Linked DNA regions of Macaca mulatta. The main gene of each other region encodes a partner of the protein of the gene in region 2 in a complex. Links are inferred from orthologs where the notes say so. Each region holds a gene or a part of one and is shown on either strand. Other genes may lie near its edges. The genes, in order: CAMKK2, SFN, TBC1D4, PADI6, ANPEP, RND3 and EIF2AK2.

Evidence for each region.
Region 1: the proteins of SFN (region 2) and CAMKK2 are in contact, whole or in part, in a crystal structure (PDB 6Y8A), measured with the Homo sapiens proteins. The link is inferred for Macaca mulatta from reciprocal best matches to the Homo sapiens genes SFN and CAMKK2. Residues at the interface, in NP_006133.1 of Homo sapiens: Val46, Lys49, Arg56, Arg60, Lys122, Arg129, Tyr130, Glu133, Gly171, Leu174, Asn175, Val178, Tyr181, Glu182, Leu218, Leu222, Asp225, Asn226, Trp230; in NP_001257414.1 of Homo sapiens: Arg508, Ser509, Leu510, Ser511, Ala512, Pro513, Gly514.
Region 3: the proteins of SFN (region 2) and TBC1D4 are in contact, whole or in part, in a crystal structure (PDB 7NIX), measured with the Homo sapiens proteins. The link is inferred for Macaca mulatta from reciprocal best matches to the Homo sapiens genes SFN and TBC1D4. Residues at the interface, in NP_006133.1 of Homo sapiens: Asn42, Ser45, Val46, Lys49, Arg56, Arg60, Phe119, Lys122, Arg129, Tyr130, Glu133, Gly171, Leu174, Asn175, Val178, Tyr181, Glu182, Leu218, Ile219, Leu222, Asp225, Asn226, Leu229, Trp230; in NP_055647.2 of Homo sapiens: Arg637, Arg638, Arg639, Ala640, His641, Thr642, Phe643, Ser644, His645, Pro647.
Region 4: the proteins of SFN (region 2) and PADI6 are in contact, whole or in part, in a crystal structure (PDB 4DAT), measured with the Homo sapiens proteins. The link is inferred for Macaca mulatta from reciprocal best matches to the Homo sapiens genes SFN and PADI6. Residues at the interface, in NP_006133.1 of Homo sapiens: Lys49, Arg56, Arg60, Lys122, Arg129, Tyr130, Gly171, Leu174, Asn175, Val178, Tyr181, Glu182, Leu222, Asp225, Asn226, Leu229, Trp230; in NP_997304.3 of Homo sapiens: Phe443, Tyr444, Pro445, Ser446, Ala447, Glu448.
Region 5: the proteins of SFN (region 2) and ANPEP are in contact, whole or in part, in a crystal structure (PDB 7AEW), measured with the Homo sapiens proteins. The link is inferred for Macaca mulatta from reciprocal best matches to the Homo sapiens genes SFN and ANPEP. Residues at the interface, in NP_006133.1 of Homo sapiens: Asn42, Ser45, Val46, Lys49, Arg56, Lys122, Arg129, Tyr130, Gly171, Leu174, Asn175, Val178, Glu182, Leu222, Asn226, Leu229, Trp230; in NP_001141.2 of Homo sapiens: Ala60, Ser61, Ala62, Thr63, Thr64, Leu65, Asp66.
Region 6: the proteins of SFN (region 2) and RND3 are in contact, whole or in part, in a crystal structure (PDB 7OBC), measured with the Homo sapiens proteins. The link is inferred for Macaca mulatta from reciprocal best matches to the Homo sapiens genes SFN and RND3. Residues at the interface, in NP_006133.1 of Homo sapiens: Lys49, Arg56, Arg60, Lys122, Asp126, Arg129, Tyr130, Glu133, Gly171, Leu174, Asn175, Val178, Glu182, Ile219, Leu222, Asp225, Asn226, Leu229, Trp230; in NP_001241667.1 of Homo sapiens: Asp236, Lys237, Ala238, Lys239, Ser240, Cys241.
Region 7: the proteins of SFN (region 2) and EIF2AK2 are in contact, whole or in part, in a crystal structure (PDB 7OBK), measured with the Homo sapiens proteins. The link is inferred for Macaca mulatta from reciprocal best matches to the Homo sapiens genes SFN and EIF2AK2. Residues at the interface, in NP_006133.1 of Homo sapiens: Lys49, Arg56, Lys122, Asp126, Arg129, Tyr130, Glu133, Gly171, Leu174, Asn175, Val178, Glu182, Leu222, Asp225, Asn226, Leu229, Trp230; in NP_001129123.1 of Homo sapiens: Asn546, Glu547, Arg548, His549, Thr550, Cys551.

The regions. Positions count from the first base shown.
Region 1 is NC_133416.1:128,612,810-128,616,819, forward strand, and holds part of CAMKK2 (calcium/calmodulin-dependent protein kinase kinase 2), read right to left. Parts: intron 3,062-4,010; coding exon 2,961-3,061; intron 2,438-2,960; coding exon 2,395-2,437; intron 1,949-2,394; coding exon of another isoform or gene 1,943-1,948; exon of another isoform or gene 1,838-1,942; coding exon of another isoform or gene 1,829-1,837; exon of another isoform or gene 1,407-1,828; intron 1-1,406. UniProt on the Homo sapiens protein: Calcium/calmodulin-dependent protein kinase belonging to a proposed calcium-triggered signaling cascade involved in a number of cellular processes. Isoform 1, isoform 2 and isoform 3 phosphorylate CAMK1 and CAMK4. Isoform 3 phosphorylates CAMK1D.
Region 2 is NC_133406.1:214,122,053-214,125,107, reverse strand, and holds SFN (14-3-3 protein sigma), read left to right. Parts: upstream 1-1,480; 5' UTR 1,481-1,545; coding exon 1,546-2,292; 3' UTR 2,293-2,317; downstream 2,318-3,055. UniProt on the Homo sapiens protein: Adapter protein implicated in the regulation of a large spectrum of both general and specialized signaling pathways. Binds to a large number of partners, usually by recognition of a phosphoserine or phosphothreonine motif.
Region 3 is NC_133422.1:70,244,174-70,248,670, reverse strand, and holds the start of TBC1D4 (TBC1 domain family member 4), read left to right. Parts: upstream 1-1,400; 5' UTR 1,401-1,811; coding exon 1,812-2,309; intron 2,310-4,497.
Region 4 is NC_133406.1:223,606,226-223,609,971, reverse strand, and holds the end of PADI6 (inactive protein-arginine deiminase type-6), read left to right. Parts: coding exon 1-68; intron 69-2,413; coding exon 2,414-2,647; 3' UTR 2,648-2,891; downstream 2,892-3,746. UniProt on the Homo sapiens protein: Structural constituent of cytoplasmic lattices, which plays a key role in early embryonic development. Cytoplasmic lattices consist in fibrous structures found in the cytoplasm of oocytes and preimplantation embryos.
Region 5 is NC_133412.1:79,616,063-79,620,072, reverse strand, and holds part of ANPEP (aminopeptidase N), read left to right. Parts: coding exon 1-50; intron 51-507; coding exon 508-634; intron 635-717; coding exon 718-872; intron 873-1,125; coding exon 1,126-1,239; intron 1,240-1,335; coding exon 1,336-1,479; intron 1,480-1,618; coding exon 1,619-1,684; intron 1,685-1,818; coding exon 1,819-1,884; intron 1,885-3,510; coding exon 3,511-3,683; intron 3,684-3,930; coding exon 3,931-4,007; intron 4,008-4,010. UniProt on the Homo sapiens protein: Broad specificity aminopeptidase which plays a role in the final digestion of peptides generated from hydrolysis of proteins by gastric and pancreatic proteases.
Region 6 is NC_133417.1:55,446,284-55,450,293, forward strand, and holds part of RND3 (rho-related GTP-binding protein RhoE), read right to left. Parts: intron 1,234-4,010; coding exon 1,099-1,233; intron 1-1,098. UniProt on the Homo sapiens protein: Binds GTP but lacks intrinsic GTPase activity and is resistant to Rho-specific GTPase-activating proteins.
Region 7 is NC_133418.1:87,801,458-87,805,467, reverse strand, and holds part of EIF2AK2 (interferon-induced, double-stranded RNA-activated protein kinase), read right to left. Parts: intron 3,047-4,010; coding exon 2,923-3,046; intron 2,239-2,922; coding exon 2,162-2,238; intron 2,021-2,161; coding exon 1,927-2,020; intron 669-1,926; coding exon 634-668; intron 1-633.

The DNA.
Region 1 (4,010 bases), on a different chromosome or scaffold from region 2:
GCAGACGGCAGGCAGGCCTCCAGTCCAAGACCCCCAGTGCCTGAATCAGCTCTGTGAGCTCCCACGACCAAGGCATCCCACATGCTGGGGGCTGAGGGCAGGGGATCACAGGTGAGGGAAGGAAGGGGCAGTACAGCCCTTTGGGCCACTCTCCATCTGCTGGTGTCTTGCAATTTTGATCTCATTGAAATTAAGGCCGGGCACAGTGGCTCACGCCTGTAATCCCACTACTTTGGGAGGCCGAGGCAGGCAGATCACCTGAGGTCAGGAGTTCTAGACCAGCCTGGCCAACATGGTGAAACCCTGTCTCTACTAAAAAAATACAAAAATTAGCTGGGCATGGTGGCACACATCTATAATCCCAGCTACTCAGGAAGCTGAGGCAGGAGAATCGCTTGAGCCTAGGAGGCAGACGTTGCAGTGAGCCGAGACCACACCACCATACTCCAACACTCCAGCCTGGGCGACAGAGCGAGACCCTGTCTCAAAAAAAAAAAAAGAAAGAAAATAGAAAAGAAACCAAGAGCAGACTTGCTCACAGACAGGAGGCAGCCCCAGTTTGGCAGACCCTAAAATGGAGATTGAGAGGAGGAAGGCCGAGGAAAGGCCAACCCGCTGGGTTTCCACTCCATCATCCGTGAGGCTCACACCCAAGGCTGAGCTGCCCAGGCATCTGTGTGGGCACAAGCTGGGGACTGCGTCTGCCTTCTGAGGCTGCTGAAGACCGGTTCTGAAGGACTGCCGTCTTCCGTGCTCTATGCTGGAGGGCAAGGTTTCTCTCAAAAGCATAAATAATTCCCAAACAGGTGTTCCTCCTAGATTACCATATAAGCCCTGACTCCCACAGGATGGGTGGCCAATCCATTTTTCTTTTTTTTTTTTTTTTTGAGACAGATTTTTTGCTCTTGTTGCCCAGGCTGGAGTGCAATGGCGCAATCTCAGCTCACCGCACTCTCCACCTCCCAGGTTCAAGTGATTCTCCTGCCTCACTTCCTGAGTAGCTGGGACTACAAGCGTGTGCCACCACGCCTGGCTAATTTTTGTATTTTTAGTAGAGACAGGGTTTCACCATATTGGCCAGGCTGGTCTCGAACTCCTGACCTCGTGATCCACCTGCCTTGGCCTCCCAAAGTGCTCGGATTGCCCAGCCTGGTGGTCAATCCATTTCATCTTGTAAGCCAGCTCCTAACACTTGTACAGGAATGTTCATAGCATCAGTCTTCATTCGATAGCCAAAAGGTGGAGACAAGTTCATCCACAGAGAAATGGATGAACAAACTGAGGTGTGTCCATACAATGGAATATTATTTGGCCACAAAAAGGAATGAAGTACTAATACACGTAGAGCATGGATGAACCTTGAAAACATGATGCTGAGTGAAAGAAGCCAGACACAGAAGGCCACGTAGTGTATGATGCCATTTATACGAAATGTCCAGAATCGGCAAATCCATAGAAAACTAAAAGACGAGTGGTTACTGGGGTGGGGGAGTTGGATGGGGACAGCTAAGGAGTGTAGGGTGCCTTCTTGGGCTGATGAAAATGTCGTACAGTTGATGGTGGTGATGGCTGCAAAACTCTATTAGAAACCACAGAATCAAACACTTCCCACGGGTGAATTGCATGGTATGTGAATTGAACCTCAATAAAGCTATTTTTAAGAAACAGAAGTGACTGCCTGGAGCTCCCACCAAGTCAGGTGGCCACGACGGGTCACTGGGAAGGGCAGTGGGGTCCCCACCCACCACAGCACCTGCAGCAGGGGTGCCCAGCAGGTTCTCCCGGTCTCATAGGGACACAAGGCTTCATCTGTCCTGGGAGGTTCTGGTCACCTGGGCTGGGTATGCGTATGAAGGAAGGGTGGCTCACAGCAAGGTCTGCATCCACTCGGGGGAGGGAACTCTTACATTACTTTGCAACAGGTGGGAAGGGGACTTATTTTCTAAGTCTAAACACATCAGAGAAAGAGAAGTGGAGGCTGGGGAGCCCCTAGCAAAGAGCCACACAGTGCAACATGCCTGATCTATGCACTGACCATGCGGACTCGGCGGGGGGCACCCACGGGCCCCGTGACAGAGCTTCAACGCCATTGACGTGCACTGAGAAGACGTGGGTGCCACATGGAATCTTCAGACCTGGGTGCATTCTCAGGCATTCCAGCTGGAGCGCCATGCACCCGCAGCCCCAGCCCACATGCATGACCCACCATCGGGTCCAAGCCCCCGAGGCCCCTCGTTCTAATACTGGGTCTGGAGGCCCGTGGTGAGCCCGGCCACAGCAGCTCAGGCTGGAAGGAGCGTCTGCCTGGGTGGGGATGCCCCCGTGCTCTGCAGCTGCCCACCCACCCCCCCTCAGGCCCCAGCAGAGGCTACGGCACAGGCAGGCAGGTGTTACCTTGAGCTCAGACAGGGACTCACATTCCCTGGTTGGTTTTTTGCTGGAATCACCAGAGGGAGGGAAAAGGGAAGTGAGAAGGGACGCTTGGGATCCACGAGATGCCCATTCCCCCACCCAGAGACACTCAGACCCCAAACACTAGCTTCATAGAGCTGGAGCCAGGGTGGCATTGACATCAGGTGAGTGGACACCCCTCTGCATGGACACACAGAGTCCTGAATGAGGCCACACTGCTCGCCCAGCACAGAGCCTCAAACCTCCCCATCAGGCACTCACACTCCTGGGCCACAAAAGTGCTTTTCCTCTGACTGCCAAGAGCCCCCCAGCTACAGTGCAAGTCCCCGAGAAATGTAAACTTCAGGTGGATTAGCTGTCAGCAAAAGGAGGTGAGCTGAGCCCAGGCTGGGGTGCTGACTGTCCCAGTGCACCAGGTGGGTCTCATCTGAGTCTCTCCAGATGGTGCCACTTCAGGGAGGACCTGTGCAGAGTGCTCTGGGCAGGGCTGCCCCAAGCTCAGCCTCCAGCCCCCACTCCCCCACCCAAGAAGGCAGGCGGCCACTCACGTGAGCAGGTTTCCAGGCGCTGACAGGGAACGCTCCTCCCGCCGGCTGCCCTCGAATGGGTTCCCAAAGGAGCGTTTACGTATCATGGTCTTCACCAGGATCTGAAGAGGGAGAAAAGAGGAGGTGGCAGGTGACTGCTTGGCCAGGTGGGGGCGATTCCGGGCAACATCCTCCCTCTTCCTTCTCCCCAGCCCCTGCCAGCGCCCAGGGCTGGTGGCTGATGGCAGGCCTTTGAGAGAAACTGGACAGCCCCCCGCCGCTGCAACCAACCCCCACCAAAAGAATCCTCTGGAAAAAGGTGCTGTCCTGCACCACACCTTCAGCCACTGCTCAGCATCTCTCCCAGGCCTCCCTGCTTTCCACCTCCCTCCCATCCCTTCCAAAACCCAGATCTGGTCCCCTCACTACCTGACTCAGAATCCCCACCCAGAGGGGTCTGGAACTTGGCCTGTGGTCAGCCAGAGAGCCCCGGAAAGTTCTGGAGCAAGGACATGAACCAGTCACTCTTGGTGATGCTCTTGGCTGCCATTTCCCATGAAGGGAATGGCCTGCAGACCCCCTAAGAGTCACTGGGCCCCTCACCCCACCCCAACCAGGGCACGGTGCCCCTTCAAGCTGTTTCGGGAATTCATGGAGCTTCTGACTTTTTAAGCATTTGCTGCTAACAAGAAGAGTAAGTGTTTAAGAAACACTAATTTACCAAAAGGTGCAAACACCCAAATGCCCATCAACTGAAGAACAGATAAACTCAAAGCGGTCTGTCCGTGCAATGGAACATGATTCAGCCATAAGAAGGAGTGAAGCACTAATCCTTGTACAACACGAACGGACCGTGAAAACCTGCTACGTCAAAGTAGCCAGGCCCAAAAGGCCTCAGAGTGTAGGATTCCACCAGAATACACAAATCTACAGACACAGAGGGCAGGTGAGTGGGTGCCAGGGCTGCGGGGAGGGGAATGGAGAGTCACTGCTGATGGGCGGGGGTGTGAAGTAATGAAAATATTCAGAACTATTGAGGGGATAATTGCATGCCACTGTGAATGTCACAAA
Region 2 (3,055 bases):
AGGTTGGCAACAGAGGTCTCCATCTGAGGACTCTGCCAGGGGTCAGAGGTGGGGTAATGGTCAAAAGGAAGGAAGTGGCTCATGCCCATAATCCCAGCAGTTTGGGAGGCTGAGGCAGGAGAATTGCTTGAGCCCAGGAGTTTGAGACCTGCCTGGGCAATGTAGTGAGATCCTGTCTCTATTTAAAAAAAAAAAAAAAAAAAAAAGGAAGGAACAGGGAAACTTCTGAGAGACAGGCTGGGGGAGGCATCACGTAGCTGGGATTGCTGCCCCATAAAACAGAATGGTATGTGTCACTGCCACCTCCCTTTCTCAGTCCTCTCTCTCCCCAGGTTGCTAGCGTCCCCCCTGGGGGATCAAACTGGACTGCTTCCCAGCCTCAGACAGAGAGCAGTCTGAGTCAGGCAGGAAAGTGGGACAGCCGGGGAGCTGGACCCCACCCTCTGTGAACCCCACTGGTACCTGATGGCATGTGGCTTGGAGAGGGCAAGTGACCTGGTGTGGAGGGCCAGAGGGTAAATCCTCAAACAAGTGGCAACAGGCCACCAACTTGAAAGGGAAAATTGTGTAGTGATGGGAAATGTGTACAACAAACCTACTGGGTGACTAATTACAAAGGCTGGGCTGGAGCGTCAGAGGCTGCTTGTTAAACACTTCATTAAGTGGCACTCTGAAAGCTGCCACCTGCGCATTCTGGGAGCTCAGAGGGGACCCTGAGGGGGAGTGAGGCCTGAGGGATGGAACCATCTTCAGGTAGATTGAGAAAGAGCCTGGATCTCACTTCCAAACACAGCCTGGAGCTCATAGGTCAGAGACTTCAACGGGAGAAAAGCTAAAGGAAGCAGGGTGCAGAAAGGAGTTTCAGGGAAGTGGTGGCTATGTGACTTTGAGCAAATCTCACCCCTCTCTGAGACTTAGTGTTCCCATCTCTGTGGTCCTGTGTGTGTCACAGAGACACAGTGGGGATTAAATTCGATGGTGAATATGAAAGTGCTTGGGAAACTCTATGGCCCTACCTAAACATGAGTTATCCTCACCTGAATCAAGGGGAGAAGTTACCTGGCAGGATTGGGAACCCCATCCTCCTGAACCTTTATGGGCTCTGTCGAGGCAGAAGCAGCCAGGGGCTAAAGCCGCCCTTAGCCTCTGTAAGGGCGCTGTGAAGGAGGATCTGATTTGAGAAGCCAGGCAGTTTCCTGATGTGAGCAGCCATATGATGCCAGCCCCGAACAAGAGGGGGCAGCCTAGAGCCTGGAAAGGTGCCTGTGCAGGTGGGGCCCACGCCCAGATTTCTTCTGCTGACTGTTCTGATGACTCACCCCCACATCCCAGCCTTTTTACCTTTACTGCAGAGCCGGAAAGGGTGTGGGGAGGAGAGGAGACGGAGGCAGGTCTTGGGCCCTGGTCCCGCCCCCTGCTCCTCCCCACCCTTCTCTGGGCCTGGCCACCCAGCCAAAAGGCAGGCCAAGAGCAGGAGAGGCACAGAGTCCGGCATTGGTCCCAGGCAGCAGTTAGCCCGCCGCCCGCCTGTGTGTCCCCAGAGCCATGGAGAGAGCCAGTCTGATCCAGAAGGCCAAGCTGGCAGAGCAGGCCGAACGTTATGAGGACATGGCAGCCTTCATGAAGGGCGCCGTGGAGAAAGGTGAGGAGCTCTCCTGCGAAGAGCGAAACCTGCTCTCAGTAGCCTACAAGAATGTGGTGGGCGGCCAGAGGGCTGCCTGGAGGGTCCTGTCCAGTATTGAGCAGAAAAGCAACGAGGAGGGCTCGGAGGAGAAGGGCCCCGAGGTGCGTGAGTACCGGGAGAAGGTGGAGACTGAGCTCCGGGGCGTGTGCGACACCGTGCTGGGCCTGCTGGACAGCCATCTCATCAAGGAGGCTGGGGACGCGGAGAGCAGGGTCTTCTACCTGAAGATGAAGGGCGACTACTACCGCTACTTGGCCGAGGTGGCCACTGGTGACGACAAGAAGCGCATCATCGACTCAGCCCGGTCAGCCTACCAGGAGGCCATGGACATCAGCAAGAAGGAGATGCCGCCCACCAATCCCATCCGCCTGGGCCTGGCCCTGAACTTTTCCGTCTTCCACTACGAGATCGCCAACAGCCCCGAGGAGGCCATCTCGCTGGCCAAGACCACTTTCGATGAGGCCATGGCTGATCTGCACACCCTCAGCGAGGACTCCTACAAAGACAGCACCCTCATCATGCAGCTGCTGCGAGACAACCTGACGCTGTGGACGGCCGACAACGCCGGGGAAGAGGGGGGCGAGGCTCCCCAGGAGCCCCAGAGCTGAGTGTTGCCCACCACCGCCCCACCCTGCCCTGCCCCCTTCAGTCCCCCACCCTGCCGAGAGGACTAATATGGGGTGGGAGGCCCCACCCTTCTCCCCCAGGCGCTGTTCTTACTCCAAACGGCTCCGTGGAGAGGGACTGGCAGAGCTGAGGCCACCTGGGGCTGGGGATCCCACTCTTCTTGCAGCTGTTGAGCGCACCTAACCACTGGTCATGACCCCAGCACTGCTCTCCGCACCGCTTCCTCCCGACCCCAGGACCAGGCTACTTCTCCCCTCCCTCTTGCCTCACTCCTGCCCCTGCTGCCTCTGGTCGTAGGAATTGAGGAATGTCCCGCCTTGTGGCTGAGAACTGGACAGTGGCAGGGGCTGGAGATGGGTGTGTGTGTGTGCGCGCGCGCGCGCCAGTGCAAGACCGACATTGAAGGAAAGCATGTCTGCTGGGTGTGACCATGTTTCCTCTCAATAAAGTTCCCCTGTGACACTCCTCCTGTCTCTCTCCAGTTCTTGGCGATGGGTTGGGAGTGGAACTGGAATCTGATTTAGAGATCCTGACTTTCGACCTCTGAGTTAGGGCCCTGACCTCCCTGCGTGGCTCAGTGACCTGCACGCAAGACTTTGAGTCCAGGTGAGGCCGGGGTCCGGCTGTCTCCATCAGGGCGGCCCCATCAAACTGGATGGGACCGGGAGGGTCAGGTGAACCCACAGGAGGCGCCGAGCCTCCTCTGCAGGGCCGAGGGGAGGTGAGTGGGAGCCGCAGCGCGGG
Region 3 (4,497 bases), on a different chromosome or scaffold from region 2:
TCCTTTCTTTTATATGTCTCAGATGTGTAGCCTAAGGAAATGGGATCTGTGTAAGAGAGTTTCTGGGAAGGTTTTAGAAGGTCTCAGTCTACCTTCCAAGAACTTTTCATTGCTTCTTTGAAGACATGGGTCTTTTTGAACAAAGGTTTTTTAAGTGGTTAAACCAAATGACTTAACCTAATCAATTAGTAATGTCTCCATCTTGGAATTTAGATACCTATTAATAAGAGAGCCATCAGGGTGCAACCAGAAATTCAGCATAGGAATAATGACAGTTAGTCATATTGACCTTAAATAAACAGAAGGGAAAAAGTGGTCCCAGGGCTTTCTAGAAAGTGAGAACTCATTAAACTAAAAACCAAGAAACTAAAAACCAAGAAACTAAAAACCGAGTTTTCATTCTTCTTGTAAGCACTTAGGAGAAAGTCAAGAACTTCTGTGTCTTTCCTATTTGTCTTTACTTCTTACCCAATTCTTAATTATCATTCAGTATGAGTAAAGAGAGAATATTTGTCCACCTGTTTTAAAATTACAATGATCAAATTATTCCAAACTTTTTTTTAGTTCTTTGGAAATATGTATTATCATATATACATAAAAGAACAAGAAATCTCTACATTAGCTCTCAACTGGGAATATAAAATAAATAAAATATAATTTTTCCATATTTTAAGAAGTTGGCTGCTTTAAGAACTAGGAAGATTCAAGTTGTCAATACTATGTTTTAAAGTGAAAATTGGAACTGGAATTTATAATATTGTGATTGAAAACACGAGCGTTTTTTGAGATTATTAGGAAGGATAATTCAGAAATTAATGTGTAGGTTTTAGAAGGAACTGAAACCAAGCAAATACTGTTAAAAAAAAAAAATCCCAGTTCTCCATTGCGAGTGGCCCCCTCTCTAGGGGGCAGCAGAGACGCCCGGGAGGAGATGGCGATCGCAGCGACCTAAGAGAGGCCAAGCGGGTCCAGGCAGTGCCCACGCCAGGTTCTAAGCTGCAGCCCCAAGGGCGGGGGTCGAAGGAAGAGGCGGAGAGGCAGTTTCGCAGATAAGCTTTTGCAGGCGCCGCTCTCCGCCCGCCGGACGGGAGGCGGGTTAGCAGCCCAATTAAAGAAGCAGCCTGGAAGGAAGGAAGGAGCGAGGGAGGGACGGGAACGCCAGGAGGAGGAGCAGCGAGCTGGGCTGCAGCTGCTGCGGGAGGCGGAGCGGCCCCGCGAGGCCACATTTTGTTTTTGTTATTTTCCATTGGAGTAGTTGTCGGAGGCCTTTCCCGAGGACTGACCGCGCCGCAGCCCGGCAGCCCCGACCTTCCAGGTGACAGCCGGTCACCCTGGTAGGAGTCAGCTCCGCCCCAAGTCACCCCCTCCCGCCCACAGCCCCATTCCCCGCCCAGCCACCCAGTGCCTGCCCGAGGCGAGCGCGGAGGCTGCAGCGGGGCTGCAGCGCTGGAGTCGGCGGCCGCGGGGACCCTCGGCGTGGTCCTCTGACCCTGCATACTCGCGACGGAGGAAGGGGAGGTCCTGCCCGAGGCGCCAGCCCAAGGAGGATGCCCATTTAACCCACCTTCGCCTATCCCTCCGGCTGCCGGGCGCTTGCCTCGGTGCCCGCCGCCGGAGCCTCCGAGCCGCGCCCGTGGAAGTGCTGCATGGGGCAGGGCTGCTGAGGCGCGGAGTTCGGGGTCGCGCCGCTCCCAGGCGGGCGCGGGGGCCTGGTGCGGCAGTTGGCACAGTTTCGGCGGCGCCTTCTGCGCGGGAGTGGGGGGCGCGGTGCGCCCGGCCGGCCTCCGCGGTGCCTTGGTGAGGTGAGAGTTATGGAGCCGCCCAGCTGCATTCAGGGTGAGCCGTTCCCGCACCCCCTGGAGCCCGAGCCGGGCGTCTCAGCTCAGCCCGGCTCCGGGAAGCCGGGCGACAAGCGGTTCCGGCTGTGGTACGTGGGGGGGTCGTGCCTGGACCGCAGGACCACGCTGCCCATGCTGCCCTGGCTCATGGCCGAGATCCGCAGGCGCAGCCAGAAGCCTGAGGCGGGCGGCTGCGGGGCGCCGGCGGCCCGCGAGGTGATCCTGGTGCTCAGCGCGCCCTTCCTGCGTTGCGTCCCCGCGCCGGGCGCCGGGGCCTCGGGGGGCACCAGTCCGTCGGCAGCGCATCCCAATCCGGCCGTGTTCATCTTCGAGCACAAGGCGCAGCACATCTCGCGCTTCATCCACAACAGCCACGACCTCACCTACTTTGCCTACCTGATCAAGGCGCAGCCCGACGACCCCGAGTCGCAGATGGCCTGCCACGTTTTCCGCGCCACAGACCCCAACCAGGCAAGACTGGGGCTCGGAGGCGCGGGGGCGGGCTTGGCCCTGGGGGATCCGGGAGCAGGGCGGGAGGGGGGCGGGGACGCGACTTTAAGGACCTACTGTGGTTTGGCTGCAGGCGCGCGCGCTCCACGTGGCGCTCTCAAGCGCCGTCTCGTCCGCTTCCCTGGACTTTGGGAGGGGTAGAGAAGGCATTCGGGGACTGGGCGAGCGGCTGGAGCCGGCCGGTTGCAGCAGGGACCCGGAGGGAGAAGGACCGCGGTCCCTGGATGGAGGAGGACCTGGCGCGTCCAAAGAGCACGCGTAGAGGAGCGCGCGTCCCGGGAGGACGGCGGTGTCTGGAGTGTGATCGGAGATGGCTTGCTTGCCGTGTGTGTGTGTGTGTGTGTGTGTGTGTGTGTGTGTGTGTGTGTGCGCGCGCGCGCGCGCGCGCGCGTGTATGAACGCAGAAGGTTGGGTTCCTAGAGGTTCTCACTAGTTCTCAATCACGGTCCTTAACCGGTTTGGCTGGTCGCGTCATCTTCGCCCCAGCACCTGCAGGTCTCCGATTTCGGAGCGGGGGTTAGGGAAAAGTTACTAGACATTGTCAGATTGTCTGCGAAGAAGAATTCTGCATTTGGATATTGAATGGAAAGAAGCCCTTCTCTTTTTTGCAGTTTTTAAACACACTTATTGGAGGCAGTTTAGTAGAACAGGTTTCTAATACAATTTTTAAATGATTTTTTTCACTTTTGTTTTTAATTTTTTTTTTAGTCTTCTAATTCGAATTACCAAACAGTAAACTTTTACTTCCTTAAAAACAGATGTGGACCTTATGGAACAGGGAGAGGAAAACTTGACTATGCAGTGATTGTGCCTTTGAAAACAAGCTTTTTCCCCTTTAATTTGTAATGAGTTTTTTTTCCCCCCATCTCAAAAGCTTCCAAAATGCTGTTTTAAAAATGGTTATTTAATGTTTGCACAGTACTTTAGGTTCTTTGGAAAAATATTGTTGTCTAAATATAAATAAAGTCTCAGGTTGCACCATGTGGCTTTCTTTTGATAGCTGGGAAATTAATAGTAGTCAGATGAGAAAAACATCCTATAAATAAGGCTTTAATTTTTTATTTCACAATTCTTCTGTCTGTAATTGAAAGACTTAGAATAGTTTTCACAAAAGGCTTATAGTTGAATTGAAGAAAATAAGAGTTAATTGTCTTAGATTTCATCACTTTGTAAAATATTTTTTTTTTTTTTTTTTTTTTTTTTTTTTTTTGAGACGGAGTCTAGCTCTGTCTCCCAGGCTGGAGTGCAGTGGCATGATCTCGGCTCATTGCAACCTCTGCCTCCCAGGTTCAAGCGATTCTCGTGCCTCAGCCTCCCGAGTAGCTGGCATTAAAGTCGCCCAATAAAAAGAACTCCTGATGTGAAGAGAGCAGTTTAAATTTGTGATCACTGTTATGTTTATGGCAAAATATTGTACTAAAATTATTTCAAGATCCTAACCACGATTTAATGAATTTCATTTTGTGATCATTTGTTCAAAACTTTTTAGCTTTTACATATGTTAAAATTGGAAAGTTTCTGAAAGCTATTACATCTTTATTGTATTACATTTTTCTGGTTCTGGCGGTAAGGAGGAGCCAGTTGCATTTTTTCAGGACTTTAAGGAACTTTTCATGACTCTTAGGGGTTTATGTTAAAGTTATTTCCCTCCAGCCACATCTGATGCCTGACACATTGTTGCTAATCTCATTGATGGTCGTGGCACCTTGAATTCTCAATAGCTGCTGTTGAGTTCCTCCTGGTCTCATTGGTAGGAAGTCAATTATAAACATTCCTTTATTTTCCTCCATTATATATTTAAGCGTTAGAGGCTGAACTATATAAACATTAATATGTTTAAGATCACTTCCACCTTTTAGTCCAGTGGGAGCAGTGGAAGCCATAAGACTTTCTCATAAAAGTTCAAGAAAACCTCTAACTGACTTTCCTGTTTATTGCCTTTTCCCGGATGCGTGTTTGATATAAAGACAGGAATTACTATTTGCTCTTAACCAAGAGATTCCCTGGCAGAGGATTATTAATTTGAAGGGCCAGATGTAGTGTCTCTAGAGAGCATCTACAGCCATTAATCGGTGGTTACAAACTCAAATGATGAAGAAGAGGGTTGAATGAGGACCATGGAGGACTGGATGAATAGTGACTCCTTTCT
Region 4 (3,746 bases), about 9.5 Mb from region 2:
AGATGACTAACATCCCCTCTGACCAGCAGCCCAAGAGGCCCTTCGCGAGGCCATACTTCCCTGACCTGGTGAGGGACGACTGGGCATCCCTGGGTGGGGGAGGGTCCGTCCAGGCAACACTGGCTGCCGCCTCACTGTGCTAGACTGCAGAGATGGGGGAGGGACAGCAGATAACGGTGCCTATGAGGAAATGGGCAGGAGACCCCTTCTCCCCCATCTCAGTTAGGGACGCCCTCCCAGAGAGCAGGTATACTGGGCCTGAAGGCTTGGAGGGTTCCCCAGGCAGTTACTATGGGCCAGGAGCTTCAGGAGCCTCAGTGAGCTGTACCCCTAGTCTAAAAGGATGAACCTGTGAGGCCCACTTCAGATGGGGTGCTATGTAACTCAGAGTTGAGGTTGCTGTGCATCTGCCAGCAGTGAGGTCTTGGGCAAGCTACCTCAGGGTAGGTCTTTCCACTATCCCCAGGGTCCAGGGCAGCCGTGTCCGATACATGGAGGTACATCAGCACTTAAAATAACATTCTAGGCTGGGCGCGGTGGCTCACGCCTGTAGTCCCAACACTTTGGGAAGCTGAGGCAGGTGGATCACCTGAGGTTGGGAGTTCGAGAGCAGCCTAACCAACATGGAGAAACCCTGTCTCTACTTAAAAATACAAAATTAGCTGGGCGTGGTAGCACATGCCTGTAATCCCAGCTACTTGGGAGGCTGAGATGGGAGAATTGCTTGAACCTGGGAGGTGGAAGTTGCAGTGAACCTAAATCACACCATTGCACTCCAGCCTGGGCAACAAGAGCGAAAGTCTCTCAAAAATAATGTTCTGTTCAGCTTGGCTGGTTGTGGTGGCTCACCTGTAGTTCCAGCACACTGGGATGCTGAGGTGGGAAGATCACTTGAACTCAGGAGATGGAGACCAGCTAGGACAACATAGTAAGACCCTACATCTTTAAAAAAAAAAAAAAAAAATTAGCTGGGGCCAGGATGCAGTGACTCATGCCTGTAACCTCAGCACTTTGGGAGGCTGAGGAGGGCAGATCACTTTTGAAGTCTGGAGTTTAAGAAAAGCCTGACAGACATGGTTGAAACCCCATCTCTAGTAAATACAAACACTAGCTGGGTGTGGTGGTGCATGCCTATAATCCCAGCTAATCAGAGGCTGAGGCAGGAGGATCCCTTGAATCCAGGAGGCAGAGGTTGCAGTGAGCCAAGATTGTACCACTGGACTCCAGCCTGGGCAACAGAGCAAGACTGTCTCCACCGCCTCCCCCCGCCCCAACCCAAAAAAAAAAAAAAAAAAGCTGCGTGTGGTGGCCCATGCCTGTAGTCTCAGCCACTCAGGAGGCTGAGGCAGAACAATTTCTTGAGCCCAGGAGGTAGAGGCTGCAATGAGCCACTGCATTCCAACCTGGGCAACAAACCAAGACCTTGTCTGATAAACCAAACCAAAAAAAAATTCTGCGGCCGGGTGTGGTGGCTCACACCTGTAATCCCAGCACTTTGGGAGGCCCAGGTGGGAGGATCACCTGAGGTCAGGAGTTCGAGACCACCCTGACTAACATGGAGAAACTCCACCTCTACTAAAAATACAAAATTAGCCAGCTGTGGTGGCGCATGCCTGTAATCCCAGCTACTCAGAAGACTGAGGCAGGAGAATCACTAGAACCTTCCAGCGGAGGTTGCAGTGAGCCGAGATCATGCCACTGCACTCCAGCCTAGGCAACAAGAGCAAAACTGTTTATTTTTGTCTTTAAAAATTCTGTTCCTACTTATTCTAAACCAGAAGTCATAATCAAGAGTGGGGCTGTGAGCACATAGAGGTCCTGGTTTCACCAAGCCTATGCCAACTGTGGCTCACATCTGAACTTTCTCATGTAACAACTGACCCATTATATAGGTATTTAAAATGAACGGAGGCATTTGAGGTGCCCCAATTCTCTAAACACTTGCTGACCTCTTCCCTGGGTCCTAGGGACACAGGCCCTGATGCCATGGGTGTCTTCTAACTTGATCAGCTCAGTGTGGTCCGGTAGGGGTGAGTAGTGGCAAGAAGCTGCTTTGAGAAGGAGTTGAGATATGAAAGATGTGCAGCAGTCAGCTGACAAGAGGGGGTGGGGAGAGCGTTCCAGTGGAGGCAGCAGCAGCCGTGTGTTGCATCCAGACCATAAGAGGCCAGAATAATCAAAACATAGAAACTGGAGAAGTTGACAATCCCAGACCTTGGCCAGGCAGGATGTTGTCTTGCTGTTGAGAAACAGCCATTGGAGGGCTAAGCAGAAGCGAGCTGGGTTTCACTGACCTGGAGGAGGCGGCTGCCCGCCTGCTACGCCTGGTCTGGCCTGACCACAGAGAGGCAGGTGGGGCGCGGGCTTTCAGGCCTCTGATCCCTACCCGGGCCTTACCCTTTCTTTCTGACAGCTGCGGATGATTGTGATGGGCAAGAACCTGGGGATCCCCAAGCCTTTTGGGCCCCAAATCAAAGGGACCTGCTGCCTGGAAGAAAAGATTTGCCGCTTGCTGGAGCCCCTGGGTTTCAAGTGCGCCTTCATCAATGACTTTGACTGTTACCTGACGGAGGTCGGAGACATCTGTGCCTGTGCTAACGTCCGCCGGGTGCCCTTTGCCTTCAAATGGTGGAAGATGGTACCTTAGACCCGGGCCCTGGAGCTGCCAGCTCTGCCCCAGCATGGATGGCCCACTGTCACCATGCAGCAGATTCCTTGCCCAGCAGAGGCTGGACAGTCCAGGTGACACAACCCTTTCTTCCCTGTCCACCCCGACCCTCGGACCCAGTAGGGTAGCAAATGCTGCCAGCTTGAACCCCTGTGGGGAAAAGATGGAAAAGTGTTCAGCCAAATGGCATTTACTAAATAGCCAATAAAGTGCTGGTGGGCATGAATGCATCTTGGCAGTGACCTCCTCGTTTGGGGAGGGGATGTGTGCCAGCTGAGGACAAGGCTGAGCTGAGATGCCTATGGCCATGCTGGCTGCCTTGTGTGGGGGGAAGAGACTTGGCTACATGAGTTGCTGTCCTTCCCCTCATCTCTAAATTATGTCTATGGCAGGAAGTGGTTGGACTTATTCAAATGGACTTAGATTATCCAAATGCTGCTCTGGTTTAAGCAACTGGGACAGACTGGGTCTAGAGTCCAGGGCCCAGGCTGAAGGAAGGTTGAGGGCCTCCCCTTGGGCCTGGTAGGACCTGGAGGGGGCAGGCCCGGGGTGGGGTTGGTGCCATGCCCGGTGGGCACCAAGTAGAAGCTGTGGTCTCCTTGGGTCTGTAGGTATGGCCTCAGAAGACACAGCAGTAGCGGACCTGGGTGACCCTCAGCCTGAAGTGCCCCTCCCAAGGCCCAAAGCTGTATATTCCCATCTGACCATTCCTGTGTTAATGGCACAGGGATGCTGTTAAGCTTTAACAGGCGCTGTGGCTCCTGCCCTGCTCCTCCTGGGTGATGGCTCCTCTAGGACACTAACCCTCAGGGTAGGCCCTGAGAAGGGAGCCTTGTGTCCATGTCCCACAGGGAGTTGAAGGCAGAGCTGGGCCTCGAACTAGCCCTGGTCCCAGCACCCGGGGCTGTGGGCAGCAGGCAGGACCTGGCCAGCCTCTGCCAGCTGCTGGGGCAGTGGAGGAGGGTCATCCTAAGGAAGCAAGGCAGCCAAGAGGCAGAAGCCAAGGTTGGGGCAGCAGGGCTGTTCACTGGATCAGACGTGGGTCTTTATCCAGGAGCTGTGACCTGGTGTGCCAGCT
Region 5 (4,010 bases), on a different chromosome or scaffold from region 2:
TTGTCAGCGAGTTCACCTACGTGGAGACGCAGGCATCCAATGATGTCTTGGTATGAGGCTGGGCCCATCTCTCCTTCACCTGGGCTGGCCCTGGCTTGAGGGGTCTTCCTGTTCTCTTCATCCCTGTACCAATTTCTGAATCGTTAGGCCAGGGTTTGAATCCCAGCTCTGAGTGATTTCGGGCAAGTGTCTTGTTCTTTGGTTCTCTATTTCTGCACCTGAAAAGTGAAAACAATGGTTTCTCCTCATGAAGGGAGTTCTGACCCGCCAGTACCAGACAGACGGTGGCTATGATAATTGGTATTCTCCAAAGGCCCTTCTCTAGGACCCACAGCTTCCAGGCCCCCCTAGTGTTCCTTCTGCTGACCAGGTCTCTAGGTTTAGCTTGATTGACCCCCAGCCCTGGCCCGTCGGGGATCCCCCTGGCCCACTGGGCCCTGGGACCCAGCCCACCTGCCCCAGGATCAAACAGGGGCCCCTGGCCTGCTTCTTCCTCACACCTTGCAGATCCGGATCTGGGCCCGGCCCAGTGCCATTGCGGCGGGTCACGGCGATTATGCTCTGAACGTGACAGGCCCCATCCTTAACTTCTTTGCCAGTCATTATGACACACCCTACCCACTCCCAAAATCAGGTGAGTGGGGGTCCTCGAGGAGGGAGGCAGTGGTTGGAATTCCACTCCCGGAGGCCATCCTGCCAATGGCCTCGCCTCCCCAGACCAGATTGGCCTGCCTGACTTCAACGCCGGCGCCATGGAGAACTGGGGACTGGTGACCTACCGGGAGAACTCCCTGCTGTTCGACCCGCTGTCCTCCTCCAGCAGCAACAAGGAGCGGGTGGTCACTGTGATTGCTCACGAGCTGGCCCACCAGGTAGACCCCCATCTCGGGGAGTGCAGAGAAGGAAACGGGGGCTCCAGGAGGAGATGGTGCAGGTCCAGGCTCCGCCCCAGGCTGCTGAGAAGGGAGGAGGGTGCCGCCTGACAGGGCAGCAGGAAGGGGTCACGATGGGGTTGGTGAAATCCCCACTGTGCCTGGCAGGTGGCCAGCCCTGGGGAGGGTAGTTCTGGGGACTCTCAGTGCCTGGCCTGGGCGTGGCTTGCCCAGCTGACCCCTCCCCCCACAGTGGTTCGGGAACCTGGTGACCATGGAGTGGTGGAATGACCTGTGGCTGAACGAGGGCTTTGCCTCCTACGTGGAGTACCTGGGTGCTGACTATGCAGAGCCCACCTGGAACTTGGTGAGCAGCTGCCCTGGGGTCCAGTCGGGGGGTGTGGAGGGAGACCTGGGCCACCGCTACCAGGCCAGTGTCCTGATGGCCCTGGGGAATTTGCAGAAAGACCTCATGGTGCTGAACGAAGTGTACCGCGTGATGGCCGTGGATGCACTGGCCTCCTCCCACCCACTGTCCACTCCTGCCTCGGAGATCAACACGCCGGCCCAGATCAGTGAGCTGTTTGACTCCATCTCCTACAGCAAGGTGCAGCCCACACCTCGTGAGACACAGGGAGGGAGGTGGGGACTTGGCCTGGAGGGGCCTCGCTGAAGCTGGGGTCTGGGGGCACAGGGTCCTGGTGGCTCAGCACAGCCTTCTGAGCACCCCCTCCCCCCCTCCCCAGGGCGCCTCAGTCCTCAGGATGCTCTCCAGCTTCCTGTCTGAGGATGTATTCAAACAGGGCCTGGCAGTGAGTACCGCACCCTGGGTCAGCCATGAGGGTGGGTCTCCTGCCCCTGGCCCTTGACCTGGGCTTCAGCTCACCACAGAGGGGGAACCTGGGGGGCTCCAGCTGTGCCCTCACTGTGCCCCGTCTTTCCACAGTCCTACCTCCACACCTTTGCCTACCAGAACACCATCTACCTGAACCTGTGGGACCACCTGCAGGAGGTCAGTAGCAGCCAGCCCCTCCACAGCCATCCTGTTGGGGTCTTGAGATGCTGAAGGTGCCTGGGGGCAACACGTGTACAAGAGAATGGGTCCAGCTGACCAGCCCTGCAGGGTGGATGGAGCCTCCATTGCTCCTCCCTATAGTGGGCACCAGGATGGCTCCTTGCAGGAGGTGTCTGAGTGAGGCCGTGGTCCAGGCCCTGGCCGGCATCTGACCTCAGGCTACAGTGGGCTCCTTGTTGGGAGCTGTAGAGCCCCTTCCTGGTGGTGAGGAAACGGCCCTCACGGTTCCCGAGTCCAAACCCGCCTCTGCCTGGAACTCTGGAGCTGGGCATTCAATCTTCTCCCACTCCTGGCTCCCCTGTGCTCCCGCTGGCACCTTCCAGGCACGTCTCTGCACACAGCTCCACACTCAGCAGGAACTCTGCCCTCTGCCCCTGCCCCGCCTGGAGTTCCTCTCCATCAGACCCCGCACAGCCCCTGTGTGTGGGGCAAACCCTCAGACTGCCTGCACCCTCCTGCCTTCCCCCAGAGGCCACCGCTCCTCCGCCTCCCCCGGGGTTGGAGTCCACCTGCTCTCCATCCTGCCCCCATCATTTCCGCTCCCTGACAGCTGCCCCCCACCCCTTCCCTGCAGCCCTGCCCAATGCCAGCCTCTTCAGCCAGAGGACAGACATGTCCTCTCCTCACCGACAGCCCCTCCAGAGTTCCGGGCCCCAAATTCCCGTCCAGCTTCTCCCCCACTGTTGCTGCTGCACTTCCAGTCCAGGCCAGTCTCACTGGGGAAGCGAGACCCAGGATCTTGTCATCACAGAGTCACAGCTGGGGTCCAGGTCCCTGCTGGGCAATTTCCAATCCCCCGACCCCGAGATGCTGCTGACATGACACTGTCATTGCCTGGGTCTCCCCCACTACCTTCCTTGATCTGCCCCAACTTCCCCTCTGCATTCCCTCTGAAGCCAACCTCTCCTCCCTTCCCTCCTTCTCTCTCACTCTTCTTTCCTGAGCCCCTCGGCCCGCGGTCCCCAGCTGGTTCCTCCCCACATGCTCTTCTGCCCTCTGTGTGGCCCTGTTCTTAGGTGATTCCTTTCTTCAGTTATTAACAAATGATGTTGGCTTTCTGTTGTGATAACAAAGGCAATGCAGGTACATGATCGAAGATCCAAGCAGACAGCAACAGTGCCTAAGCCCCGCCCCACACCCCAGTACAAGTGCACCTCCCTCATGCGACCCCCAGGACCCCCTCCCCCGCCCCTGCCTGTGACACCCGAACACTGGCTTTCCCTCATCTCTTCTCTTTCTTGTCATCCTCCCAGTGTTGTTCAGGAAGAGCCATGGGCATCCTGGGCATCCCCTCCCTGACATACCCACCTCAGGGTGGACCACAGAATGGGGGGCCACATAGATTTGCTGGGAAGTTCTCCAGCTCGTCCAGCACCGAGCAGCCGAGGAGAGGCAGAGCTGAATGGGACCCTAGCTTCCGGCTCCCGGCCCAGTGCCCTTCCCAGGCCTCCCATACAAGTGGCCCCCTGGGGTCGAGGCGAGAATCTGCAGAGGATGCCCTGGATGGCAGGGACTGGAGGGTGGCAGCCCACTGATGGCCATGCCCTCTCGCTCCACCCACAGGCTGTGAACAACCGGTCCGTCCAACTCCCCACCACCGTGCACAACATCATGGATCGCTGGACCCTGCAGATGGGCTTCCCGGTCATCACGGTGGATACCAGCACGGGGACTCTTTCCCAGGAGCACTTCCTCCTTGACCCCGATTCCAATGTTACCCGCCCCTCAGAATTCAAGTGAGCAGATGAGGTCACTGAGGCATGGTCAGGTGGGTGGGGTAGAGGACGGTTACTAAGGGACCATAGTAGGACTGGCCTCCTGTGGTCCTAGCCCCAGCCACTGTAGACAAACCCTCCCTCCAGAGCCAGGAGATCAGGGGCACTCGGAGCCAGAGTTGGGCAGAAGCTGGGAGCCTGGACAGCTGCTTCTCACTGGCAGTGACCACACTGCCGTCTCTCATTACCTCTGGGTCTTTAATTGCAGTTACCTGTGGATTGTGCCTATCACATCCATCAGAGATGGCAGACAGCAGGAGGACTACTGGCTGATGGATGTAACAGGTA
Region 6 (4,010 bases), on a different chromosome or scaffold from region 2:
ATGAGGACATTCATTATCAAACACTTAATATGAGGTGATTCAAAGAAGTGTAGAGTGGAGCTAACGAGGTGATTCATCTTCACTATCAACTGCAAGCAAGAGTTAACTGGTTACTCAGGCTTTCCAGAGTCACAGCAAGCATGAAATGGCCCAGAGAATCTTACTGGTGAAGTAAGTTAGCTGAAGGTCATGAACATAAACTCCACATTTTCCACACAGCTCTGGCTGTGGCGATGTGGCTTTGAGAACCTGTTCCAGCGTCTCCTGGGGGACTCCATTTCTCTTTTCTTGAGGGTAAATGGCATTCAAGACTAGTGACTAGGTTGTACCGAAAACGAGGGTAATGAATGAAATTTAAAATTGATTTTGAAATGTACGTGATTGTGTCTTACTTAGGGCCAAAATAAGTTGAGGAAAGGAATAATACTATTGTGACATCTGTTATATCAAACACAAAATACGTAATTTCTAAGTGTGAACCATACCACCAATATACGCAACAATAAACATGTGCACATCAACCAAAACTACTTATTTAAAATACCAAATTTTTGCTAATGAGAAATGGAAGACTAAGAAGACTGCAGTATTTAAAATGATGATTCTTAATACAATTTTGGTATTTCAACATGAACTCTCTTTAGATTCTGGTTGTAGGTTTTACGAGAATGAGCTTTTGAAATTGATTCTCATTTCTACATACTTGGGGGAAATGCCTATAGAAATGAAGACTCTCTGAAAGATGGTGTTACGGAGTGCTCCAGTTTACTGGAAACAGCCTTATTATTGCACTGCCGACTGTAAAATCAGATTACCTCTCTTAAAGAGTATTACTGATTTTGACCACATTCTCTGTTAAACCTACTGAACTTTAAACCTACTTGGAGTTGCAGAAATATACAAGGTTAGCATATCAACTGTTTATGTACCCAAATATCATGTAATTACACTAATAAATGACAGCATTTTAAATTTCACAACTGACCACTGGCTGAGCGTTTAGAAAAGCAGCTACTTTTTATTTTATTTATTGTGAGTGACAGTCCATTTCTTTCACTCTTTCTAAAATCCACTTTTGCACATGGGCAACATATATACCTGGTCATAGGACACTGGCGTCTGCCTGTGATTGGAGAGTTCTACTAATGTACTAACATCTGTCCGCAGATCAGACTTGCAGCCGACCAAGAGCATTTTGGTATTTGGACAAAATTCCTGGATTTCACCTTTCCACTGTGACAGGAAAAAAAAAAAAAAAAAAGATTAAAAATGAACAAAGTAATGGCATCCATATCATAAAAACCATTTCTCCACTGGCAGACATTAGAATGAAACTCAAAAAAAGATGTTAAAAAAGGAGTGTCCCTTGAGATGAAGAAGCAAACTTTGCATTTATCTCCTGAATAGATGTGAAGTTTTACGACTTTTTAAGCATTAGAGAATGATTATGTATATTATGATCGATTCTCCCTCTCTGTGACTCATCTGTTGCTACTGAAAGAGATTTGGTAGATGTTGTCCAAAGGTAGCTTCAATAATGTCTTAATTATTGGCATGTCTCTGAAAGATAAATGTGTCTTAAGAATAATTATATATCCTAACAAGTGACCACATCCTTCGATGTGTGGATCTGATCCTCCTTAACTAGAAGGCTGCGGATAAGGCAGAGGCAACAGTAGCACAAGTATGCACTCCCTGATCCCATCATGAAACACTGAAGCATGCCACCGCGAGCTGAGGCTCTATTTAAGTACCTGAGATAGTTAATAAAACAGAACATCCTGCCTTGAAGGAGTTTCTATTCACATGGTTCCATCAACACAGATCATGACATTTGCAAAGGAACATCTCCTGGTGATCGGGAAGGCAGCTGGTCCTGTAGCTCATATGCCTTCGAATTAGTTTAAAACTATTTCAATCTATTCCAGTTTGTCTATTTGTTTCATGATCTAACAAGAATTAGTAGAACCCTCAGCAATGCCTGGCTTGGAATTCCAACTGTCCTCTTTAAGAACAAGCAAGTGGCTTTTTGTGGCTTCATTTCCTCAAGCTTGAGCTCTGCAACAGCATGGGAGTCAAGGGTTCAGGGCAGTCACAGGAGATCTTTGGCCTTTGAGGGCAGGGCCTGGAGAGGCTGAGATGGGGAAGTGGTGCCTGACTCTTCCCACCCACATTCACAAATATGTAAGTGTTCTACAAAGTACTGTGGCCGTGACAATGATGATTAAGACATAGCTGTGTCTTCTGGAAAGAAATTCACAGAATACTGGGGGTGATGAAGTCATGTATTAAGTATAACACAAGATAAGAGGGACATCCTGCAAGAATAACTTAAAAGATCACTAGAGGAGACATCTCCAAATCTAGGGGTGTACTTTGGGTAATGAACTCTAGTGCAAACTACACCAGTGGATTCAAAGGAGTAATATACTTTCCATAAGAGCCTATTGTGTTCACTTCTTCCTTTTTTTCTTCCTTCCTTCCTTCTTTCCTTCCTTCTTTCCTTCCTTCCTTCCTTTCTTCCTCCCTGCCTCCCTCCCTCCTTCCCTCCCTTCTTCCCTCTCTCCCTCACTCCTTTCAGAATTATGTAGGAACACCTACCATATGCTAGGTGGCACTAGCATTAGAAGTGGAAGGTGAACTGGAAAAAAAAAAAAGAAATTCTTCCTACTTCAAGTCATTCTAACCTCCTCTTTGATAGTGAAGGACTTAAAGGCTTCCATTAATCAAGACAAACCACAGGGGTTATCATGAGCCTTAAACCTCACAGGAATGTAAAACATACTCATTAATATCTATAAGGCCAAAGTCACTATTCATTTGGTCTTAGAAGAAAAAAGCAAAATAAAACAGGAGAAAGGCTTTTTCATCATAAATTATGCATAGCCTGATACTACATCAAATAAAATCTCCAGTAAATAAGCAACCCCTTTTATCTCCAGACAGAACTAGACATGTTGTTATGTTGCTCTTCAGCTGTGTAATGACTTTGGCCTCCCTCCGCATGTCTAGCAATTGTTTACAAGCATTAAAGACAGGAAAGGTGTATTCCTGCCTGGATTTGACAAGCATTAGCATTATTTGTGTTAGATATGTATTACCCAAAATTGAAAGGAGCTAAAAAGGGAAAAAGAGCCTTTGATCTATTAAGAAAACCATATTTTATTGAACTCTGTTTGTAATATTTAGTAGAGACAGAAGGAGTGATTTTACTTCAAATCCTGATTTCACAATGACACACAAGCCAAGCAATCAAATATAATAGAGGAATGTAAACTAATAAAAACACACAAAATACAAACAAATTCCACTAAAAATTAAAACCAAAAAAACAAAACCAACCTAGGCACACCTGCATGTTTGTCTTTCTTAATCCATACCATACTCAGACTGGGCTGCATGGCTCACCCCTCAGCTGACACTGCCTTGCTCTCAGCCACATCCGGTGTCTAAGCCAGGGCGTGGAGGAGAGGGAGTGCTCCACCAAGGGTCTGATCCTGAAGCCCCACAGCACACAGGCCAGGTCTGAGAAAACAGCTAGTGGCTAATAAATGCTGATCCATGGACTTACACGGCACGTGCCTTCTACAACTACCTGGAGGCTGAGTCCCTGCTGCTGGAGGTCAAGAAATGCCCCTTCCTCCCACTGGCCTCCCTACTTCCTGTGACCCATCCTGTAATAGGTCCTCTTCCTCTTGATCTCCCTCTGGTTCCTTCCATCCATAGCTTCCTTAGTTAGGTTCCTTCTTCACCTACAGAACCTGACTAACCTTTGCCTCCATAAACTATGTGTACGTTATAATATATAACATGTTTACAAGCCCTGCTTCTACATTACTAGAAAGATAACTGATCATAATTACTAGACAGATACCTGATCATCAGACAATTCACATTGGACACATCCCTATTCCTCCTATACTAGTTCCATTTCTGTTTCTAATACCATAACTAAAACACAGCTTATTAAAATAGCCATTATTGCATTCCTTTCACTAACTGACTTGAGG
Region 7 (4,010 bases), on a different chromosome or scaffold from region 2:
CAAGTCATGTCCACTCTTCCTTTACAGTCTTTCTCACACATTCTCCTCATCCCTCCTGACTGCCACAGTAATCGTGGCTGAGGGCACCTCATGTACAGAACTCTCTTCTCTCCATCCAAGCATCCACATCAAGAATCATCTTTCTTTAATACATCTATCTACTATTCAGAATATACTGGTGGCTCATAATGGCTCCTACTGCCATCTTACTCTCATTTCTGACTATATTTACATCGTTGCCTTTCTCTTCAGTTAATTGACATAGCATCTGACCTTTTTATAATCCAAGTTTTTATGCTATTTTAATCTTACTTGTCTGCAAAATAATACACTTCTCTTGAAAACACTTCTACAGTGAAAACAGCCCAATTCCTTGCCAGCCTCGTACAAAATAATGCTCTTAACCTAATTACTCGAGTGGTACCCCCATAGGGCTTTATGTCTACAGTGCAGCATGTGCATATATTCAAATATCTCTCGACACATCTAAAATTATTTTATAGATTTCAAGCTTTCTGCTTCTGAAACTCTGCTCAAATAAGGGTGTACAATACTCTACAAGTATTTAAAACAATACATAAGTCTGAAATAAAACTTCAGATCAAAATATGTTCAATGCATAATGATACTCACCTTTTTGCCTTCCTTTGGTTATTTCTGAGACCATTCTATAACAAAAGAAAATGAGAAATAGTTTCAGATGACTAAATCAATCATCTTCCTTTCTCTTGTTATCTTTCCTCTTGTATTTCCAGATGGCTCGCTGACCAATTTCTTATTCCATCAATGTCTGTATTCTCATCAAGCCCTGTATAAACACTTAGTATTGTAAGACTTAACTTTTTGCCAATCTAATGAGTTTAAAATAGTATCTAATTGTTTTGATTTACATTTTCCTGATACCTAGTAAAGCAGCTTTTAATATTTGTTGCCCATTTGGGTATCTCTTCTCTGAACTATCTGTTTATATACTTTGTACATTTTTCTACTGAGTTGCTTGCCATTTTCTTATCGATTTTGTAGTTCTTTATAACAGAATACTCTTGTAACACTAATCGTCAAAAGCATAGATTTTGCTCTAAGTTCAACATTGCCTGCTTATGTGCACCAAAAAGTTATCTGTTTTTTGTTTGTTTTTGTTTGTTTGCTTGTTTGTTTTTGAGATGGGGTCTCACTATGTTGCCTAGGCTGATCTCGAACTCCTGGGCTACAGCGATACTCCCACCTTGGCCTCCCAAGTGCTGCAGACTATATGCGTGTGCCACTGCACCAGGCTAAAAAGTTATCTGATTTCAGTTTACTTTTAATGTTAAATTTAATTCTAATTTTTTAAAACAGAAATAAACTATATTAGAGAATCTTTAAATATTATCCCATTGGTAGGAGAGAAAAGCAAAATCATAGGAATATATTAAAATATAGGGGTGAGTGAGGAAAGACAGAAGTGACGTGTAGAAGGGTGAGGAATGGAACTTAATTTTAAAAAGAATCAAAACGCTGCTGAGCCGGGCACGGTGGCTCACACCTGTAATCCCAGCCTTGGGGAGGCTGAGGCAGGCAGAACACGAGGTCAGGAGCTCGAGACCAGCCTGACCAACATGTTGAAACCCCGTCTCTACAAAAATTAGCCGGGTGTGGTGCATGCGCATGTAATCCCAGCTACTCAGGGGGCTGAGGCAGGAGAATCGCTTGAACTGGAAGGCGGAGGTGGCAATGGGCCAAGATCTCGCCACTGCACTCCAGCCTGAGTGACAGAGGGAGACTCAACCTCAAAAAAAAAAAAAAAAGGCTGCTGAATATTATCATTTAGTAAGAGTGCATAAGAAAAAATATAAAAATTATGGTGGAATACTAGAAGTTATTTTTAAATGAGGAAACGCACAGAAAAATAAGATTAAGTAGGAAGCTTCGAGACTAATATGATACCGTAAACAATGAAGAAATGTGTAAACTGCCACTTTTAGAATTTATCTCTGATGTATCTGCTGAGACGTCACTTTCAGCTGATGATTCAGAAGCACTAGAAGAAAAGGGTGTAACTATTAGTTTATTAATTCTGTTTTTATCACTTCTTTCTCTAAATTCTCCTTAAACATAAACATTTCTCTTTCAGACAGAAATATGAATATGTTAAATATCTCAACTGTTTGTCTACACTTACAGTGAGTTGTTCACTAAAGGGTTGCTTTGGGAGTCACACGTAGCAGCAAAAGAACCAGAGGACATGGAGTCAGGTTTCTGAAAGAAAGAGAGTCCCTTAGTAGGCTTAAATGCAACTAATTATTTCTCTACAGAGGCTCAGTTTCTGTGTACTATCACATTTATTTCAACACATTTACCAAATCCACAACCATAAACAATTACAAGATCAATAACGTTTTTTATGGATGTTTGGTCTGGATTTGATTTGATTTGATTTTTTATTTCATTTTTCTGGATCACAGGACAGATAATTTTTTTGTTTGTTTCTTTTGAGACAGGATCTGGCTCTGCTGTCCAGGTTGAAGTGCAGTGGCACGATCTTAGCTCACTGCAACCTCCACCTCCCAGGCTCAGGCAATCCTCCCACCTCAGCCTCCCAAGTAGCTAGAACTACAGGTACATGCCACACACGCATCTAATTTTTTTTTTTTTTTTTTGTAGAGTCATGGTTTTGCCATGTCGCCCAAGCCAAGCTGGTCTGAAACTCCTGCGCTCAGGAGATCCACCTGCGCTGGCCTCCCACAGTGCTGGGATTACAGGTGTGAGCCACCACACCCAGCCACGGCCCCATGGCACATGGCTCATTGGTGCGACACAGAATGGAGGAATCATTTTGCTAAATCACTGGCTGTCTTGGCATAATGTAACCACAGTCTAACCTGAAGTCAACTTCAGAGGGAATTTTAAAACATAAAAATTTAATCCAAAGGCAATACGTACCACTGAGGTTTCTTCTGATATCTCAAGCAATGCAAGTTTAGCGGCCAACTGTTTTGCTTCCTGTTTACTAGAACCTGTACCAATACCATATTCTTTGTCTCCAATTTTGCATTTATAATGAAATCTAGGAGAAATCATAGAGGGTACTTATCCAAACATGAAAAATATAGTAAATCCAACTTACGATTAAAAAAAAAAAACATTAACAGAGATCTTAAGATAATACCAATTTATTAGATAGATTTATAGTTCATATCTTGCATAATTTAAACCCTCAGTAACCTGCCTGACCAATTTCTCTGAATAACCAGGATCAGTTGACATCTGAGCTTGCATTTTCCAGGCAATTTCTAATTTTTGGTTGCTTTGCTGAAAGATATGGCACAAAGGCACTAAGTGGTGATTTTTTTTGTTTTTTAATTCCCCAAAGGTCAAAAGATATGGAGGTAGAAAAGAAAGAGGTCCAGTGAATTTTTTCAGCAGTGCTCAAATGGGAAGGAAAAAGCCAGCAGAGAAAGTGGATTTGACAGGAGAAGCTATGAAGTTACAGCGTAGGGCAAGAGCAAAGCATGGATTCTGCTCTAACTTCAACATTGTCTGCCATCTGCTTATGTGCACAAAAATTTGAGAAAATCCCCACAGTGTAGATTCCCTATACTAAAGTCCACACTCTCCTATTAGACGTAAGGACATTTGTGGTTAGGCCAGGATACCTGGACAATTATATAAGAACTATTTTTAAGGGATAAAACAATGGACATGGTAATTTATATCACAGAGTTACTACATATTACTGCAAAATGATTCCAGTATTTGAACTCCTTTTCCTTTGTGCTTCTATTGAAGGCCATTGATAGAAACACATCCAAACAGGGTGAGTCTTCCCTGCGAGACCCTGAATTAAATAGCTGGGTTGAGTAACTGGATCATTTCTATAGCTCCTATTTTTTTCAGACACTGTCCCCCCGCAAATAGATTTCTTCTTTCTTTTAGGTATCTAACGTTAGAGAGCATAATTCAAAGAAATCAAAAAAGTGAGCTACAGAAAATAAAATAGTCTCTTAATTATCAAGATTGACTCAACAGAT